Astyanax mexicanus: one gene and its partners. The protein of the gene in region 3 purifies or fractionates together with the protein of the main gene of each other region. This does not show direct contact. Links are inferred from orthologs where the notes say so. Each region holds a gene or a part of one and is shown on either strand. Other genes may lie near its edges. The genes, in order: ppp2r3c, cep350 and cep43.

Region 1 (6,957 bases), on a different chromosome or scaffold from region 3:
TGACTACGTCTTCTGGTATCGGTGAGACCGCTGTTTGCCTGTTTATTCTGTTAGCAGTATCTGTTAGCCTTCCTGCTAATAAACCTGTCTGTACTTTTAACTCGGCTCGCGTCACTCCTCTCTACCTGGCGTCACAGCTAAACTATATGACCAAAATATATATCATGACATATTTCTTTATTTCAGTCGATACGATAGAATTCCGATATTAATATAAACAGTATAAAATCAGTAGCAGATTTTGCTATTTAATTACTCTTTCTTGAATAAAACAGTGATTTTATTTCAATTTTGCTGAATTTCCTTCAATAAAACAAATTTCTGTTTATTAAGCACTGATCATATCCTCAATGTTTTGATATTAAAGCATAATACTGTAGTTACAATAAGAACTATTATTTATTACAATACGATCACAATACGATCACCTGTAATTCCTCATTATCGAGGAGTTCCCGGCTCTTCCTCTGCAGGAACACGGCTCGGGACTCTTCTCTCAGCTTCTGCAGCAGAACTTCATCCTCTGCTGGAAGCTGTTAATAAAAAATAATCATAAAGCTGAAAGCTGTTCTGAAAGATATCCTTCCTCTAAAATCCTCTTTTTCTTATTCTTAGTGAAATACAGTGGGTCTCTGAGTAGTTTATGATGCTGCACATGATGAAACTCTTCCTCATTGTTCTGCAGCAGTTAGTAAAAGAAAATATTCAGAAAAATAAACGAGTCGATCAGGAAAAGCACCGTTTCTACATCAACTCGTAAATTAGTATTCATGGCCCTGCCCACCTCGGCTCGGGACCGCCCACAGACAGAGCTGAAGCCGGGCAGCGATGCCGTCTCGTCAGATAGGAGCTAACTAACAGTAGCGATGGGTCTGACGACCCTGAAACCTCGGCACAAGCGCCGAGCTATCAAGGCGAAACCCCGTGTCGGTGCGCGTATCAAGTTAAGGAAAACCACGTGACCGATACACTTCCTGTATCGTTTGGTAGCGATGGGTCTGACGACACTGAAACCTCTGCGCATGCACCGAGCAAACAAGGTGAACCGCTGTGTCGGACCGCGTATCATTTTAAGGTAAACCACGTGACCGATGCAGTTCCTCGCACAGTTGCTTGCAATGACTTTTTAAGTCCAGCAGATGTCGCCATTAACTGATGCAGCAACACAGCTTCAACACAGTGTCGATACAGTTTGGACACACAATGAGGCTTCATCTGCCCATCACTACCTAACAGCGCTAGGAGCAGCATGCAGTTCATTCCTGTGTTATTTGTGCGAATAACACATCAGTGTTTATATACTTTACCCAGTAATTCAAAACTAAGAAACAAATGGTTAGAATTAGTCTATGGAGGAAAAACACCACCAGGCAAGTACAATAGAGATAGGTAGGTGTTTAGATGTTTAGAACAGTTCTGTTTACACTAGTTAAAAGTAAAAATCCACACCAGCGTTTTGTTCCAACTACACATTACACATGCTGTAAAGTAATATATGAAATTGCAAAGATTTTTATTAGTGTAAAAATATCCTTATTTTTAAAACTTTCTAACTGTTGTCCGTCTCACCACACTGCAGTGCTGTAAGCCAATCAGAGGCGATATGTTTGCATATATTAATATTCATGAGCAAGAGCTAAAATTCTATTGTTTTTCTCCACCCCACTCCTCCACTGGACTAAAGCAGTGTTATACCGGATCACCGGAGTACTTTTTTTCATAACAAATCAGCTCACATGGACTTTAATGGACTTTTAATGTATGAGTAATCAATATTTAATAGCTTTGCTTGTGGAAGTTCTACATGTAAAGCTTTGGGTGTGTGGAGTAACTCACCCTGTAGTAAAAGTGAGGGATGAGTGTGGAGTAACTCACCCTGTAGTAAAAGCGAGGGATGAGTGTGGAGTAACTCACCCTGTAGTAAAAGCGAGGAACGAGTGTGGAGTAACTCACCCTGTAGTAAAAGCGAGGGATGAGTGTAGAGTAACTTACCCTGTAGTAAAAGCTAGGGATGAGTGTAGAGAAACTTACCCTGTAGTAAAAGCGAGGGATGAGTGTAGAGTAACTCACCCTGTAGTAAAAGCGAGAGATGAGTGTAGAGTAACTCACCCTGTAGTAAAAGCGAGAGATGAGTGTAGAGTAACTCACCCTGTAGTAAAAGCGAGGGATGAGTATAGAGTAACTCACCCTGTAGTAAAAGCGAGGGATGAGTGTGGAGTAACTCACCCTGTAGTAAAAGCGAGGGATGAGTATAGAGTAACTCACCCTGTAGTAAAAGCGAGGGATGAGTATAGAGTAACTCACCCCGGAGGAAAAACGAGGGATGAGTGTGGAGTAACTCACCCTGTAGTAAAAGAGAGGGATGAGTGTAGAGTAACTTACCCTGTAGTAAAAGCGAGGGATGAGTGTGGAGTAACTCACCCTGTAGTAAAAGCGAGGGATGAGTGTGGAGTAACTCACCCTGTAGTAAAAGCGAGGGATGAGTGTGGAGTAACTCACCCTGTAGTAAAAGCGAGGGATGAGTGTGGAGTAACTCACCCTGTAGTAAAAGCGAGGGATGAATGTAGAGTAACTCACCCTGTAGTAAAAGTGAGGGATGAGTGTGGAGTAACTCACCCTGTAGTAAAAGCGAGGGATGAGTGTGGAGTTACTCACCCTGTAGTAAAAGTGAGGGATGAGTGTAGAGTAACTCACCCTGTAGTAAAAGTGAGGGATGAGTGTAGAGTAACTCACCCTGTAGTAAAAGCGAGGGATGAGTATAGAGTAACTCACCCTGTAGTAAAAGCGAGGGATGAGTATAGAGTAACTCACCCTGTAGTAAAAGCGAGGGATGAGTATAGAGTAACTCACCCTGTAGTAAAAGCGAGAGATGAGTATAGAGTAACTCATCCTGTAGTAAAAGCGAGGGATGAGTGTGGAGTAACTCACCCTGTAGTAAAAGTGAGGGATGAGTGTAGAGTAACTCACCCTGTAGTAAAAGCGAGGGATGAGTGTAGAGTAACTCACCCTGTAGTAAAAGTGAGGGATGAGTGTAGAGTAACTCACCCTGTAGTAAAAGCGAGGGATGAGTGTAGAGTAACTCACCCTGTAGTAAAAGCGAGGGATGAGTGTAGAGTAACTCACCCTGTAGTAAAAGTGAGGGATGAGTGTAGAGTAATTCACCCTGTAGTAAAAGCGAGGGATGAGTGTGGAGTAACTCACCCTGTAGTAAAAGCGAGGGATGAGTGTAGAGTAACTCACCCTGTAGTAAAAGAGAGGGATGAGTGTGGAGTAACTCACCCTGTAGTAAAAGCGAGGGATGAGTGTAGAGTAACTCACCCTGTAGTAAAAGTGAGGGATGAGTGTGGAGTAACTCACCCTGTAGTAAAAGTGAGGGATGAGTGTGGAGTAACTCACCCTGTAGTAAAAGCGAGGGATGAGTGTGGAGTAACTCACCCTGTAGTAAAAGCGAGGGATGAGTGTGGAGTAACTCACCCTGTAGTAAAAGCGAGGGATGAGTTTGAAGGTGTTTTCTGCGTTTCCTCCTCCTTTCCATTCAGTGTAATATTTAGTGAAGAGCTCCGTCTCCTCCTCTCTCTTCTCCTCCTCACTCCGGCTCTCTGATACACAAACAAAAATATATTATTATTTTATTAATAATTCAATAATACGCTTAAATCATTTTTGTTCAGATCAGCAGTTTTAGTTAAATATATCATATAGTTCTTCCAGTATGAGATGTATATATATACGACGGGCCAAAAAATATATAATTTGTAGATTAGGGTTCATATTAAAGCGGATTTCAGTAACAGATATAACATTATTTAGCTATATAATAAATACATATAAATACAGTCTGTAAACCTGTCAGTTTTGTATTAATGATACAATTACTGAATCACATATTTAGCTACCACCTTAAATATATTTTCATTATAATGTAGCTCAAATATTCTATCTACTAAATTATTTATAGGTTTTACCAAACGATCTGGTTCTAAAATCCACAACAGGAAATCAGGAGATTATCTAGATTATTTTGAATTATTTTAGGTTAGAATAGATGTTTTTTGGATTAGATTCAATTATTTTGGATTAGATAAGATTATTTTAGATTGGATTATATTATATTATTTTAGATTATTTTATTTTGAATTATCTTATTTTAGATTAGTTTAGTTTTATTTTTTAGATTATATATGTTTTTTAGATTATCTTATTTAAAATGATCTTATTTTAGATTATCTTATTTTAGATTATTTTATTTTTCATTAGGAGATCAGAGGACTTTCTTTATCTTAGCAACAAGCTAACATGTAAACAAACAGATACAGAATTAAAATACAATAAAAATAACTCATATAAATAAACGAGGCTTGTTATTTTCACCTACTGATAAATAATTATTTTAAAAAATATGGATTTTTAAACTGACTGTAATTGTTTATACTGTAGTTTGGTAGTTAGATACTAGCGGTGAGTAATCCAGGTCCAGAAAATAAAAATCCATCCCAGGGTTTTGTACCAACTCCCTGGGCAGCCCAGGCATTTGGTACAAAACCCTGGGATGGATTTTTACTTTCTGGACCTGGATTACCCACCGCTATAACTAATAGTAACCGACAGCTAAGCTAATGCTAATATTACAGTTAACCTGTTTTTGAGGTCAGTCTTCTCCTCAGGATCTCCTTCCACTCCGCAGATTTATCGCTCTCCATATTCCACACTTACTAAACCACAGCAGATCATCTAATAAACCATAATAACACTTTATTACACCCAAAATAAAATCGGCTGATTTAGCCTAGCTGTTAGCTAACCAGCGCTATTACCACAGAGTCTCTTAAAGCGAGAGAGCACACTTAAGAATATATTTTCTGTGTGTTTTCCATTTTGACCACCAGGGGGCGCTGCAGAGGGAGTCTAAAAATAAGTGGGTTCCTATGGGGCAATTAGGCAAAATCATTAATTTATTAATTTAAACGTCCATATAAACTAAAACATTTATTTTTATTTTTTATGTTGATATTCACATTCATGTTTAAAAGATCTAGTTAAATATTTTTCCAATTGAGCGAATCAGAGTATAGATATAAAATGTAAACTTTTTTTTTTCGTTTTAACAGTAGTTTAAATCAGATGATCCTTTTTAGAAAATAAAATAATAAAATCTTCCTGATGATAATAAATTGAAATTGATAAAGGTAATCTATTTTAATGTTTTTTATGCTAAATTTGATTATTATATGTTATCCAAAAAGCAACTAAAAGCTGTGTCCACTTTAAAGTATCCAAATAAATGAGTTAAAAATTTAGTTAGTTGAAGAATGAGATGTGTTGTCGTTTATAATAAATATTTTGTTTGGTTTATTTTAAATTATCTTAGATATTCTTGCTCGCATTATATTACGTTTTTATTTAATGAAAAATAAATAAATAAGCAGGTTGTTTTCTTGTACAAAAAAATGCTTTAACACTTGTTACTTAAACAGATATGTGAATAAAATGATGATGATGATGATGATGATCATCATATATAACAGGGGAGATAGGAAGTGGGCAGTCTCTCTATAATAAAGCAGCTGTGGCTGAAACACAAGCAGCAGCATTAACCCATTCACTCCCTTTAACTGCAGATTAATATTTATATACATATATATTAAAAACACGTCACTGTAAATAAGAAATAATACAATACATGCTGCAGACATCACTACAGCATGTAAAATATGAGGACATTTAATTCACAGAACATATAAAAGTGATACAAAAATAATAATAATTAAAAATAAAACAGAACACATTTAAGCAATAGTAGCTAATTATCTGTGGCAGTTTTATCCTAAAATTACACCAATTATTATTTCAAATCTATCTACTGCTGTTTTTACTTGAGGAAACTCTATTCATATATCAGCAACACTTGGCAAAGTGTGCGAAACAATTCTGTCAAAATAAAAGTCTTTACTACTATTACTTATAATAATAATAATAATCTTTCTATATGGTCTTTACTTTTTATTATTTAAGTTAAAGTTAATAGAGCAAATCTAGCTATAACGAGGATGTTGGGGAAAACATTATAAGAATGCAACTACAGATAAATAAATAAAACTAAAAATATATATATAGGGAAAAAATAAAAACAATAAAAGAGGAACATTTAATATAAATAAATAAAAGAATCTATAAAATAAATGTTAAAAGGCACCTAAAACAAATCAATATGTAAAAAGTTAATTAAAACAAAAAATAAAATAAAATAAATAAAATAAATGAATAAATAAAATCAACTATAACAGTGTCAGGCTGTCTAATTACCCAAAAAATATTAGTATCTAAATCTTGTTTTACTAGTCCTAATTACTTCATATACTTCATATGCAGTCATAAACAGTTTGTGTATATAATATTTATATCATAGAAGTTGAGGAATAGAAAGTGTAGGGATGAGTTAAAAGGGTGCAATAGTGGGTCTCCGGGCTGTAGGGGGCGCTGTTGCGCTGCTGCTGTTACTCTGCAGTAAGAGCGGAAGAAGTGGAGCGGTAATGCTGATACACGTGAGTTTATTATTATTTCACCTTCTGGTCACTTTTACTGTATTTATACTCATTTATACTCATTTATACTCATTATTCAGCTCCTTCACTCATAAACACACATCCAGCAGCAGCTCTACCGCTTATTAACCCTGTACTGACCTTCAGTTCACTGTAAATATATTGAGTTTCTCTTTGTTAACCTTTAAAACCTTCAAAAACAAACATAATTACATACTACAACATATTGCAACTCATACTGTACCAGAGCCGCACTTACTGTGGCCAATTTATTGGAAACACCCTACCTTTACCTTATGTTTCCAATCCACTAACTGTGTTAAAAATGATTTACCTATTTTTGTTGGAGTTATTCTGGGCTCTGCTTGAAGCTTTTGCTGGTGTACGGTTAATTACTAGCCAACATTTTATAGAA
Region 2 (6,957 bases), on a different chromosome or scaffold from region 3:
CAAATCTACAAAGGATCTAAAGGAAAACATTAAACAAGAATGGAGTTCATGGGAGGACCCCACAGAGGAAGCCACTTTTGTTTGAAAAGAGCACCTGGATTTTCCACAGCACTACTGCAAAATACAATGTGGACAGATGAAAGCAAAATTGAGTTGTTTGGATGAAACACACAACGCTATGTGTAGAGAAAAAAAAGGCACAGAACATCATCATCAAAACCTCATCCCAACTGTGAAACATGGTGGAGGGGGCATCATGGTTTGGGGCTGCTTTGCTGCCTCAGGGCCTGAACGGATTGCCGTCATCAATGGAAAAATGAATCCCCAAGTTTACCAAGACATTTTGCAGGAAAACTTAAGACCATCTGTCCACCACCTGAAGCTCAACAGAGGATGAATGATGCAACAGGACAACGACCCAAAACATAGAAGTAAATCAACAACCAAATGGTTTCAACAAAAGAAAATCCGTCTTCTGGAGAGTCCTGACCTCCTCAACCCAATTGAGATGCTGTGGCATCATGACCTCAAGAGAGCGATTCACCCAATCAGATATCCCAAGAATATTATAGCTGAACTGAAACAGTTTTGTAATGAGAAATTGTCCAAAATTCTGCAGGTCTGATTTGCAACTACAGGAAACGTTTGGTTGAGATTATTGTTGCCAAAGGAGGATCAATCAGTTATTAAATCCAAAGGTTCACATACTTTTTCCACCCTAACTGTAATTGTTAACACGCTGTGTTCAATAAAAAACATGCAAACATATAAGTGTTTGTGTGTTAATAATTTAAGCAGACTGTGCTTGTCTATTGTTGTGACTTAGATGAAGATCAGAACATATTTAATGACCAATTTATGCAGAAATCCAAGTATAATCCCAAAGGGTTTACATAGTTTTTCTTGCAACTATAGCTCACGGGCATTTTACACATCTGGAAAGTATAAAGAGGTTTTAGAACTCATGCAGCTTTGCCATCAAGCTGCCGGTGCTCAGAGGGAGCACAATTGGCCCTGCTCCCTCCGGGTGGGTAGATGGCGCTCTCACTCCACATCACTCCTAGGGTGATGTCCGCAGCACAGGGCGTCTGTGAGCTGATGTATCAGAACCACACTGCTGCGTTTTGCTCTGAGCGCATCAGCTGCTCGAAAAGAGGCGGTGGCTGACTTCACATGTATCGGAGGAAGCATGTGTTAGTGTTCACTCTCCTGGTGTGTTGGGGCATCACTAGTGATAGAGGGAGTCCTAATGAGTGGGTTGGGTAATTGGCCGTGTAAATTGGGGAGAAAAAACAATTGGTGCATCATGAAAGAAAAAAGTCCAGGACTGTTGATGAGATACAATCCTCCTTCAGTCCAGAATGGGAAAATATTTATCTTCCTAAACTCCAACAGCTGCTCTCCTTACTTCTCTGACTATTACCTGACCCTGTCGCAACTGATTTGAGAAGCATCACTTTAAATTATTAAATTTTTTGGAATGGTGGTATATAGTATTGGTATATAGAGAGAGACAAGATAATAGGAGATGGATGTGTTGAGGTTTTGAGCTGTTGAGCAGGAGAGTGAGATGTATCATAGCCGTGCACTGGTGCTGATGGTTTCCTGCTGCAGTGCTGGTTTACTTTCTCCTAAATGATTTGGCTCAGCTCTGATATACTGCACCACATTTCATCTTCAGAAAGTAAATCATTGAGTGCTCACTGCAGCCGAGCGGACCGGAACAGAACAGATCCAGACGGACAGAAACACTTTAAACAGAACTTTATTTCACTCTGAACAGGAAACACATCTGTCTTGATATCATTTGTATTCTAAAAATACATTTAATAATTCAATAAACACATATTTCAAATATACTGGAATTTTTAAAATAATACATTTTAAATACTGTTTTCTTTCATTTTTAAATGGTACATGGCATATAAAACTATGTTGTTTTCTTAATGTTTTTAAGACTATATAAAAATGATTTAGGTTTTAGTTATTCATTAATAGATAAAAATACCAATCTATTTTGACGTGTCCAAGGCTGTATATATATATATATATATATGTGTGTGTGTGTGTGTGTGTGTGTGTGTGTGTGTGTGATTGGTATTTTTATTAAAATAGCTAAATTAATATATACAGCTCTGGAAAAAAATAAGAGACCACTTAAAAATTATGAGTCTCTTTGATTTTACCAAATTGAAAAACCTCTGGAATATAATCAAGAGGAAGATGGATGATCACAAGCCATCAAACCAAACTGAACTGCTTGAATTTTTGCACCAGGAGTAAAGCAGCATAAAGTTATCCAAAAGCAGTGTGTAAAACTGGTGGAGGAGAACATGCCAAGATGCATGAAAACTGTGATTAAAAAACAGGGTTATTTTTATTTAAAAAAAAACATCAAATATTGATTTCTGAACTCTTTAAAAACTTTATGAATATGAACTTGTTGTTGTTTTTTCTTTTTGCATTAAAAATGCAGTTAAGGTGGCACAAGGCTGCAAGCTGGAGAAAAAACAGCTATGTTGGCTTCTTTTTCTTCTGTTCCACCTTAAGTGCAGCAGCTGTAGATTTAGTATTTTTCGTCAGCTCCTTTTTTATCCAAGAATTCAAGTGTTATTATTTTTTTAACGTTATGTATATATATATATATATATATATATATATATATATATATATATATATATATATATATATATATCCGACCTTAAATTCTATATGTGCATGGTTATGTGTTAATATTTCTTATGAAATGTGTTTAATATTAATCTACAATGCAGAAAATATATTAAATAAAGGAAAACATTGACAATTTCTTTGGACTTTTACCCCATAAAATATACAAATAACAGTATAAATATTCATCTTTATTCATTTAAAACAAAAAGGTGTAGCATTAAAACGGTGATAGAGTTCTGGTGATGATAATGACCTAAATTTTACTGTAGGTACCGAACCTGACCGCTAGGGGGGAGGTGGCTCCCATCTGTACGAACCTGTTGCTCGGAAGTCTCGCGAGATCTCCGTATGTTTGTTGTGTAATGGCGGAGCGGCTAACGGCTCCATTACAGAGAGAGAGAGGCTAACCCTTCTATACTCAGCTCTACACACTTTCTGACACACAGTGATACGGGCTTACCCGCCGCGTCCAGGTGAGCAGAACCAAAACATCCGAACCCGAGTGTTCAGCAGCGGACCGGACTGTTTAATCCCCGGGTGTGGGAGTGTTCTGAGAGCCGGTGCTAACTCGGTTAGCCGTTAGCGGTTAGCGGGGAACTTTAGTGGATATGTTTATTTTAGTGTATTTTTAGTTTTCTGTTGTCAAATTCCAGTTTTATTATCTGTATGAGTTAATAACAGAGCTGTAGAGATTATCTTTGGGGTGTTTTCTGCTGCGGTGTTTCTGTGTTTGGGTTGTTTTGTTGGTAAATGTGTGGAAATGCAGTTAAAGGCTAACCTGGTTTCTGTTTCGTGTGAATAAGAGTTTTTAAACAAGTTAGTTATTATTTAGGCTTTATTTAAATAATTCGGACTGTTCTGGTGAATCCTGGCTATGTTAAAAGCTTGGTTGTCAACTTGGTTCATGATATGCAGCTGACACTGGTTCCTTGTTCGTAATTCTCCGTTCCACCTTAAGTAGCGTTAGTGCAGCAGTGACAGTCAGGCGTCTCAGGAATTACTAAGGTTACTGCTGCAGCATTTAAGGTGGAACGGAAGATTGCTGACTACTAGGCAACTTGACGTGAAAGTAAAACTAGCAATAACCGGATTTTCTACATTTCTTCTTAAATTTCTTTCAGTTTGAGGAGTTGTGGGCTCAGTATAGAGGAATAATAACGTTTAATAATAAAAAGAGGTTATAAAGATTGTAACTGATTGATTGACTTACCAGAAAAAAGTTGCCACTTTAAATACTTGTCACTTTAAATCTTACATTTTTGTTTTTAGTTAGTAGCCAGTTTGCTGTAGGACCGTAACGATTAACGAATTATAATTTGTAATTACAAACTATACTATTTTTTAATAACTTAAAAAATGTTCACATCCATGTTTAAAAACATTAATGTCAGTTTTAGTATATTTACTACTAGCTAAGAATACACAGCCTTTTCATTGTATGCATAGTGTGGAAAATATTTAATGTGTCAGAATTGTATTTGTCTTTTTATTTATCAGCCATTGATATTATTTTAAGGGCATATCGCCCATGCGTAATTGTAACAAAACAGTTTATACCACATATATTATACATCAAACTTTACTTTTTATCCAATCAGATAAGTAGAATCTAATGCCACAGTACAACACTGTTATCTAGTGGGCGGGCCTTGTTGTTAAATAAACTCCTAGATCTACTTTAATATACTATTATTCCCCTATTTTCTTACAAGAGATGCATAAAAACTAATACTGGTGTTGGATATTTGCTCAGTACCATGCTCATTTACTTTTACAAGTACTCCTGGGGTTACTCGTAATTAGAGGTGGGCGATATGGCCCTAAAATAATATCATGATATTCATGGTATTTTCGCAATGAGGATACTATTGGCGATATGACATAACACTGAATTTTAAAAATTATTTCAAGAATGCACTATTGCTAAAAAAAAAAATAAAAATAAAATGTATTATTGCATACGATATGATATTGCACACCCCTAACTGAGATATGAAAAAATACAGTAATTGTATCAGATTTGTAACAGAAGTCAATGATCCAGGATGTCAAGAAACTAATAATGCACTCCAAATATTTCCATATATATATCCAGGATTAAGGATTGGTTGATGTAGTCCTGACATCACATGATTATTCTGAAAAATATGCTTTTTTGGAAAAGTTTAAATTGTTAATATAATTTATATAATAACAATAAAACCTTTTACACTAACAACTGTATTGGAAAGTACAAATATGCAAATGCTTGTACTTGGTTGGAATAAAGTGGTGGCTATGCATCCCTAATTATAGTAGAATTTAACTCATGTAAGTGTCCTCAAGATGTTAATCTTCAGAATCAGTAGAGTGAAACGGCTAATCTGATCTAATGTGATGAACTGTTGGTTCTTGGTCCAGGGTTGTTTTTTCTTCGTCTCCGGACCCTGATGTGTGCAGCAGGCCAGAGGGCGGAGCCGGGTCACGGTTCTCTGGGAGGTGCTGTACGGTGAGTAGATGAGAACTTGTAGTTTACATGATAAATAAAAAAAAAAATAATAATACTGGGTCAATAATTATGTTAAAAATGTGTGTAACACATTACCATGACCTCAGTCATTTTTCCTGCCCCCAATATGTTTTTCTTAATGTTATGTTATTCATTTAGAATATTTAAAGAATACAAATACAATTACAATGACTAAATATTCTTAATGTAATAAAATGTTCTTGAAATGACAATAATATTGTTTAATGCAGTTTCCTCCAGTATCTACTATAGCTGATTCGGAAGCTGCTGTTAAACTAGTATGTAAAATCATTTAAAGATAAGAAAGTGAATTGTGAACCTTAAAGGGTTTAAAGGGTTAATTTTTTTCTTTGTCAGATAAACAAACAGTCCTGTCTAAGGACGCTAAACTCACTGTTCTCATGACAACTCGATTAACTGTCATTGTAGTGTAGACACGCCTCCTTCAAAAAGAATGAATAGGGCTGTACTGCTGTAGACTAGTACGCAAACAGTGTCCTGTTGTTGGCGTCTTGTGCCCACTGATTAAGAACTAGAGATAATAAAAAAACAAATGTATAATGGGTGTATTAAACAAGAAAGTGGTCATAATGTTATGCTTCATTGGTGTGTGTGTTAATGATTTATTTTTTTCAGATATAACTAAAACATTTTATTTAGGACAGACTTTTCTTACCATTTTGTTTCTATACATATCACTATCATGAAAAAGGTTGTATCTCCAAAACAGCAGCTTTACAGTAGGGAAAGTGAAGTCCGACAATTCTGTAGCATTTCTTTTGTTCCATTCATCATCAAATTCCGATAAATATAAATGATATAAGTATAATATCACTTTTTATTGATCTGCACCTTCCATTACTGTTGAATAATAATAAACATTAAGTCCTTTCACAGTAACCAATTGTTTTAACTTTATATTTTTACAGAAGTAATTGTGATAAGTGATATTACTTCAAAGCTAGAGTTTTATTTATAACATATTATAATAGCATAATAGGGTGATTCTCACGAAAAACAGATTTAAAAGGGTTCACACTTGAAAAATTTCAAAAGGCATTTAAATATAAAATTTCTTTTTGTTATGCAAGACTAGGGTCTGAACTTTTTAGAAATACTTTTTTTTTTTAATTTTATAATTTTTTTCTGTATATTTTGCACCATTTTAGTCAGTCAGAGCACACACATTCTCAGTACCGCAACATGATAACACAGAACAGATATGGTTTAAAAGTTACACATTTGTTACTTTTTAAATAGATATTATTAACAGTTGTGCTCATATGTGTATATAACCCAGAAAATATTATATTTATAAGTTTCCCATTTTTTTTTATTTTATGATTTGTCTCATTACCGCAACAGATTTCATGATTCATGTCCTGTCTTTTCAGGATATTTAACTGAAAAATTACATGTATAATTTCTTATTTAGTACAGATGACCTATGAAGAAATACAATTTATCCAAATACCATTATAAACTAGAATTTGTTTTATAACAGTAAAATAATTAGTAAATAAATATGTGTTGCGGTAAAGAGAATGGTGTTTCGGTAAAGAGAGTCAATGTTTCGGTAAAGAGAGTCATTACAAGGATTCCTACTTAATTAACAATAACACTTTACACAACAAACACAGAGTGTGAATGCTGTGAATAAATAACAAATTCTAATGATGTACTTCTTGAGTTTTGTATGGAGTAGTAATATTGAACAAAATGTGGTATTTGCTGTTGAAAATTATTCTCAGTAAGACTCAAGCTGTGAAAATATC
Region 3 (6,957 bases):
TTTAGACTAGCTCTGTATTTTTGACTAATTCACACGAAGGTGCTAGTCATCCTCATGCCTCATGCATCCAAATGGACTAACAGGTCAAAATATCTGCCTCTCCATCTTCTTCCTCCTCCTCCTCCTCTCTCTCCAAAGCTTTGTGTATGCAGCTGCCAATATAATAACGCTTCTAATAGACCGATAGCAAAATTTCCTCTCATTACCTATCATAACTGATTCGACAGGAAAAAAGGAGTTAAAGCACAATTCTGCTGCTCTCTTTCTGTTCTAAAATACTGCAGTATCTAATAAAAAAGAACATTATCTGTAACTATTTAAATAGAAAAACACTAACTACACTATCACATGCTTGAATGCAGAATACATTTCTTATTACTAATTGTGAAATCATCAGGTTACGATGTTCCATTTGAAAAGGACTTCAACCAATCATTTTAAAAAACAGGATTTTATATTAAAAAAAAAAGAAACATTGCTTTCTCTTGGTCTCTTGCTCTCTATCTATCTCTTTCTCTCCCTATTTTATTATTATTATTATGATTATTATTTTTTAATCACATGGCATGATTTTGGTTGATATGATACTTTTTGCTGTAAATGTTCAAGATCACACGTTGCAGTGATATTTCATTTTAAAATTGTGAACTTTGTACAATTTTTATCATGCTGGTGTTGACATCTGTTACTCAATAAAAACTTGTGTTGCCACACTGTATGTCTCCTCGCCTCGATGTGTTCACAGCCCTCCTGAAGTAATACACTACAAATACTTTGTTACATTACTTAAGTAGAAATTTGGGTTAGCTCTACTTTAATAGAGTAATTTTTCCGATTATTTTTTACTTCTACTCTTTACATTTTCACACAGTTATCTGTACTTTCTAATTTTTACATTTTTAAAATAGCCTCATTGCTCCTATTTCATTTAAGCTTGTTTTCATCTGGCTTCTTATGGTTCAAAAACAAAATTAAATATCCAGATAAAATTCAGCAATTAAATGAATCGAAAAACATTAATGTGTATCCTTGATGCAGAACAAGGTCACCATGAACAATTGCAAAAAAAGGTGCGCAGTTCAACCATGTTTTCACTTAATGCCAATTTTGACTAAAACTCTTCAGCCTGTCATTGTTCTCCCTGTCATGTATCTAACTATTAAAGGGTGGGTAAATGCCTGCAAGTGAAAATAAAATGTTTTTTTTATAGTCTTTTTTGCAACAAACATGTAAAATAACAAAATACGTGATGTTTATTGTAATGGATGCAGGGTCTGAAAGGGCTAAAGGAATATCTCGGACAAGAAGTTTATTGTTCTTTTTAATGTGATTCACCCCCAATTATTTTAGACTCACTCGCGGGCTCCCTCTAGCGGTTAAATGGGCGGGGACTCGGGATATGAGCCTGTCAATCATGTTTTGCATTAACCAATTAAATCCTTGCTCTTAGCCATCAAACACATTTTGCATTGTGGAATTGCAAAGCAGATGCGACCTATCCATTATTTTGTGCATCAGCCAGTCTAGATGTTGTTTGGTTATTTAACGCTTAAATCTGATCCCGGTTGTTTTTACCTGTATATACATATGCTAATACTAAGTAACAGAGGCTGATGCATCTAACTAAATATGCATTTTAACACTTTATTTACAGATTTATGGGAATATTATTAATCATTTAATAAATTAGAACAGAAAATTGTACATTTGGATGTGTCAAACAACTGTTAATCAATGAAGATAATTTAGCTGTGCATTCTTACATTGACAAGTGGTTTCCTGACATTTCTATCTTGTAAACATGGTATGGTTTAACATAAGTATAAATCTTCTCTGTTTTACATTGCATCTGCAAAATAACATAAATACGACTTGATCAAGTTAATGATGTTTTCTTGACCTGAAATAAAGGCAAGGCAATATTTAAGGCACTTATGTGTACATGCAATATTTTGAACAGAACTGTGCTCTTACCCTGCTAATTGAACCTTCACACTCTGAAATGCGGCTGGGAGTAAACAGGATTTTATTGGAATATCTGAATTTTTGGCTGTGTGTGATAGTAATGTTATGAAACGTGCTGAAAGTGAGCGTTGTGATTGGCTCAGTTCAACGGTAGTCAACATCCTATCTAAAAGGGATCAGCTGTCCCATTTCCCCAATTACAGCTCCTTCCCTCCATTCCTCCTCCTCCTCTCCTCTCCTCGATTCCTCCACCTTCTTCCGGGGTAGGAGAGGAGGAGTAGGAAAGGAGGGGTAGGAGAGGAGGAGTAGCAAAAGTTTCTGGACGCAGCCATAGATTCTGGGGCAGATTACAGCGGAAGTAGGGGTCAAACTTGGTGATTTAATTAACTTGCGTTAACGTTGACAGCCCTAAGCAGGTATTTTGCCCTGTACTGTTACTAAATTATATCTCTGCTGTTTGTAACAAACCAAACCGTGGTAAAATCGGGTAAATATTGGTAGAGTTGTGATTTTTATATGTGTATTAAACACCTTCCTTAGTACTAATAAATGCACTGGGTCGTAAGGTTGACTCCTCCAATATGGCGGCCACGATGACATGACAGGAGGCAGGCTCTGCGGCGTCGTCACACATACTACCGGCCGGTTCACCTCAGCTGTAATGAAGACAGTCCGCCGGCAGAGGGCGCCGCGTGGTCACATGACAGTGGGGTTGAAGATGTCTGCCACGGAGGAGGACACGGAGCTGAGAGACCTCCTGATCCAGAACCTGGAAAACAACGGCGTTTTAAACAAGATTAAGGTACTCCTGAAGCTACAGCTGGTGATAGTGGAGAGTTTTACTGAGGCTGTGTGTTGACTCTTAGTGAGGTAACGTTAGTTCACTCTAGTACAGCAGTGAGAGCTAAAGTTTTGGTTAGCTTAGCTTAGCTACAGCTGGGTTAGCCTGCTGACTAGCTGAACTGTAGTGTCAACAAACTGTAACTATGAGATAACCTGAAGACCTGAACCACTGAGCTCTCCCCCGAACTCACAGATTGAGTTCTTCTCTAAACACGGGCTAGTAAAGAACGTGTGTATGTGTATGTGTATGTGTATGTCTGTGTATGTCTGTGTTTGTGTGTGTGTTTGTGTTTGTGTTTGTGTTTTTTCTGTGTGTGTGTGTGTGTGTGTGTGTGTGTGTGTAAACGTGTGTGTGTAAACGTGTGTAAGTTAATGTGTATAAAAAATATGTTAATTCTGGTTTACTGAAGTGTGATCTGAGTGTAGCCGGTGTTGTTCTGCAGGCTGAGCTTCGAGCTGCGGTGTTTCTGGCTTTAGAAGAGCAGGATAAAGTGGAGGTAAAGTGGAGCAGCAGTCTGAACTCTAACTCACTCAACTCTTCTCTATAAATCACTGTTTATCATAAGCTTCTGTACTGAGAGCTAGCTGAGTGATATGGAAGCCCCATCCTGCCACCTAAAATAAAAATATATATATTTTTCATTATTTCCAGATACTATCTCATTATTTTGAAATTGTAAGTCGTTATTTTGAGATACTATATCATTATTTTCGTCTGTATCCGTGTTGTTTTACAGATGTCTGCAGCTGTTGGTTAATAAAGGATTCCACTTCAGCTATATTTGTGTAGTTTTTCCTCCTTTCATAGCTGGCTCTTCTATAGCCTTCTCTCCCAGGTCCGGAGGTTTATTTTGATATTGTTTGATTCCTCTAAAAGCACCAATATTTCATGATTTGTAAATCTACATCTAAAGTAATCCTCAATGATTGTACAATGTTGCATCTTTGTCTCACCTGCCTCTGTCTCTGTACAGTGTGTTAGTATCTCAAAATAATGACTTACTATCTCAAAGTAATAAAACATGATTTCAAAATAGTGAATAAGTATTCCATAATAATGTCTTACTTTTTCAAAATAATAAGATAGCAGTTTACTTTTCTTTGTGGTGAGAAAAGGCTTCCATAGGGTAGCAACACATCTGTTATATGAGTATGTAATATGTATTAGATATTAATGTCTCCTTCCTGTCCTCTCTAGAATAAAACCCCACTTGTAAATGAAAATCTAAAGAAGTGTCTGAACACTAAAGATGGTAAGTGAAGCTGCAGGGCTGCTGTTCTCCCTCACTGTTTCTCAGAGCTTTAGCCTTGTTTATAACTGGGGTCCTTCTCTCGCAGGACGCCTTGTGGCCAGTTTAATCACCGACTTCCTACAAGTCTTTAATTTAGACTTCACTCTTGCAGTCTTTCAGCCAGAAATTAACACGGTACAGTATATGTTCTGTTTTATTACCATGCTCATAACATTCAAACCAACTGCAGAATATTGTGTATATCACAGTTTTTATTTATTTATTTATTTAATATCAATGTGTTAAAAATAGAACGTAGTAAATATACTAAGATAGTTCAATGAACTCACCTAAACTACTTAGTGTTCAAAGAGATATTTCCAAATATTCTATCGCATAAGACACAAGTTTAATATTACATTACAATATGTCATCATTGAGGCATTTATGTCATCATTGAGGCATATTTATGTCATCAAGGCATTTATGCCTTTTTTTAATCTGCAACATTTCTCTTAGTTCTTCATTCAGCTAATAAAACATAGTAAATTTCATTCTTACTGAGGAAACATTATGTATTCCAGCATCTATTTGTGAAATAGACACAAGGGGTAGCTGTAACACTGTGCCACAGCAGCCAGACTGAAAGGGGTGACTTTTTTTTTTTTTTTTTCTTTAATATGATAAAACTCATGAGTGCAGGCTTCAGTCAGTGCTGATCATCTAAACATGGCACAAATTGGTCTGATTTATCAGAAGATCACTATTTCACTGGTTGTCCTTACTTGAAGCATTTTAATAGGTATCAGGAACACATAACAAACTGCAGTTGTGTACATTCTCTTGGCTGTTGTCCCAATGAATCAGATCCCATATCGCTTGCTTCCAGCATATCATCTTCAAAAACTGTCAATACCCAAAATGTTTCTAACACCCATTAACCAGCAGTACTATTGTAGTAAGATAATTGGTGGTATTTACCTCATTTGTTAGAATTGTGATAATATGGCTGATCTATGTTTATATATGTGAATATACAGCTCTGGAAAAAAGTTTCTGAATCAGTTTCTCAGATTTTAATAGTTATAGGTTTATGTTTGAGTAAAATGAACATTGTTATTTTATTTTATAAACTACAGACAACATTTCTCCCAAATTCCAAATGAAAATATTGTCATTTAGAGCATTTATTTGCAGACAATGAGAAATGGCTAAAATAAAAAAAAAGATGCAGAGCTTTCAGACCTCAAATAATGCAAAATAACAAGTTCATATTCATAAAGTTTTAAGAGTTCAGAAATCAATATTTGGTGGAATATCTCTGGTTTTTAATCACAGTTTTCATGCATCTTGGCATGTTCTCCTCCAACAGTCTTACACACTGCTTTTGGATAACTTTGTCACCCCTGTTGCAAAAATTCAAGCAGTTCAGTTTGGTTTGATAGCTTGTGATCATTCATCTTTCTCTTGATTATATTCCAGAGGTTTTTTAATTTGGTAAAATGTAATAAACTCAACATTTTTAAGTGGTCTCTTTTTTCCAGAGCTGTATATATCACAATAGCCAAATAGCAAAACGTTCAGGGAAAGTCAGTGTAAAGTTTTATTTATTAATTTTAAAGTAATTTTGGTGTGTTTCTATTGGTCTATTTGTTAGAAAAGTCTGACACTAAATAACAGACAGATGCCAGATTTGTAATTAAAAATAGCAAGTATAGAAAATAGACAATGGAAAACATAGTGCATGACCTACTATAGCTTGAATAAATTTGAATAGAAATTAAATGCAACTAAAATTATTGTTTTGTTCAGATATATTTTTAATTGTTTTGTGTATTTTAATGATATGTGTTATACTTCTGTTAAACATTTGTCATTAAAAGTATGTGTATTTCTTGTCTTATCCAGTTAAATGGGCTCGATGGTAGGGAAAGTTTGTTCAGAGAGCTCGGCCTCTCGGAATCAGAAGGGAATAAGAGCACTCCTCTCCTCCTTGAGGTAATAAAGAGGGGCCGTCATAAGGACAGAGCTTCCATCTTTTCTGAGGTGAGCGTATCTGCATATTATATTTTGTCAGGTATTTTAGTTAAAATCTTGTATGTATAAATAATTTTATTCTTTCATTTTTTGCAGGGAGATCGAGTAATGCACATTCCCAAGGTATGTTATCTTCATCTAGCCATAACCTATTTTGTGCACCCACAGAGTACAGTAACCACTGGCATGATTTACAGTATCAGGACTAGATCCAAACATGTAATAACGCCAACGTCTGAACTTCTTTAGATGTGGTAGGAGAGGCTGATTCATATCTCTTCCTTACCCCCACATTTTACCCCTAACTTTATTATTTAGGTCACACAAGGGATGCGTGATGTAAATGTAAAGGTGTTCAGATTGTGTTCTTTCCTGTTCAGCTAGGTTTTGCAAAACAACTTTGTCCTACTTTTATGCATTCACAGCTTTGTAGTTTACAGCAGCTCGACTTCACGTGTGTTTTTCTGTAATTGTTCTAAATGTACAATCTTATTCAGAAGTCGACGTTTTTGACATTTTGTTGGTGGTACACACAATTCTATGTGTATTTTTTTTTTATTAACATTTTGGGGTGAACATTTTTTTTGTGTTACTTTTGTGCTTTTCAACTTGACACTTTCATTTTATTTATTTATTTATTTAATTTTATTTGTATTTATTTCTTTTCTGCTTTGTGCGTTCAAATGTACAGACATCGCTTTGTTAAATTGGCCAGGGGTATAAATGATTTTATTAACTGTGTGTGTCTGCATGCATATAATTTGTGAAAATGTAATTATTATTATTATTATTATTATTATTATTATTATTTAATTTTCTAATATACTGTTTTTGAATTAGGAGCTGTCTCCTCGTCAGATCGCTGAAGCACGAAAAAAAT

The links.
Region 1: the proteins of cep43 (region 3) and ppp2r3c purify together in Homo sapiens (affinity purification with mass spectrometry; 3 studies listed by BioGRID and IntAct, counting the BioPlex papers as one, with this or other methods). This does not show direct contact. The link is inferred for Astyanax mexicanus from reciprocal best matches to the Homo sapiens genes CEP43 and PPP2R3C.
Region 2: the proteins of cep43 (region 3) and cep350 purify together in Homo sapiens (affinity purification with mass spectrometry; 6 studies listed by BioGRID and IntAct, counting the BioPlex papers as one, with this or other methods). This does not show direct contact. The link is inferred for Astyanax mexicanus from reciprocal best matches to the Homo sapiens genes CEP43 and CEP350.

The regions. Positions count from the first base shown.
Region 1 is NC_064421.1:1,125,194-1,132,150, reverse strand, and holds the start of ppp2r3c (serine/threonine-protein phosphatase 2A regulatory subunit B'' subunit gamma), read right to left. Parts: upstream 4,816-6,957; 5' UTR 4,701-4,815; coding exon 4,637-4,700; intron 3,600-4,636; coding exon 3,475-3,599; intron 534-3,474; coding exon 429-533; intron 1-428. UniProt on the Homo sapiens protein: May regulate MCM3AP phosphorylation through phosphatase recruitment. May act as a negative regulator of ABCB1 expression and function through the dephosphorylation of ABCB1 by TFPI2/PPP2R3C complex.
Region 2 is NC_064419.1:9,458,621-9,465,577, reverse strand, and holds the start of cep350 (centrosome-associated protein 350), read left to right. Parts: upstream 1-3,024; 5' UTR 3,025-3,146; intron 3,147-5,073; 5' UTR 5,074-5,161; intron 5,162-6,957. UniProt on the Homo sapiens protein: Plays an essential role in centriole growth by stabilizing a procentriolar seed composed of at least, SASS6 and CPAP. Required for anchoring microtubules to the centrosomes and for the integrity of the microtubule network.
Region 3 is NC_064408.1:75,012,508-75,019,464, reverse strand, and holds the start of cep43 (FGFR1 oncogene partner), read left to right. Parts: upstream 1-2,218; 5' UTR 2,219-2,381; intron 2,382-2,531; 5' UTR 2,532-2,563; coding exon 2,564-2,767; intron 2,768-3,251; coding exon 3,252-3,305; intron 3,306-4,006; coding exon 4,007-4,061; intron 4,062-4,146; coding exon 4,147-4,235; intron 4,236-5,948; coding exon 5,949-6,086; intron 6,087-6,173; coding exon 6,174-6,200; intron 6,201-6,917; coding exon 6,918-6,957. UniProt on the Homo sapiens protein: Required for anchoring microtubules to the centrosomes. Required for ciliation.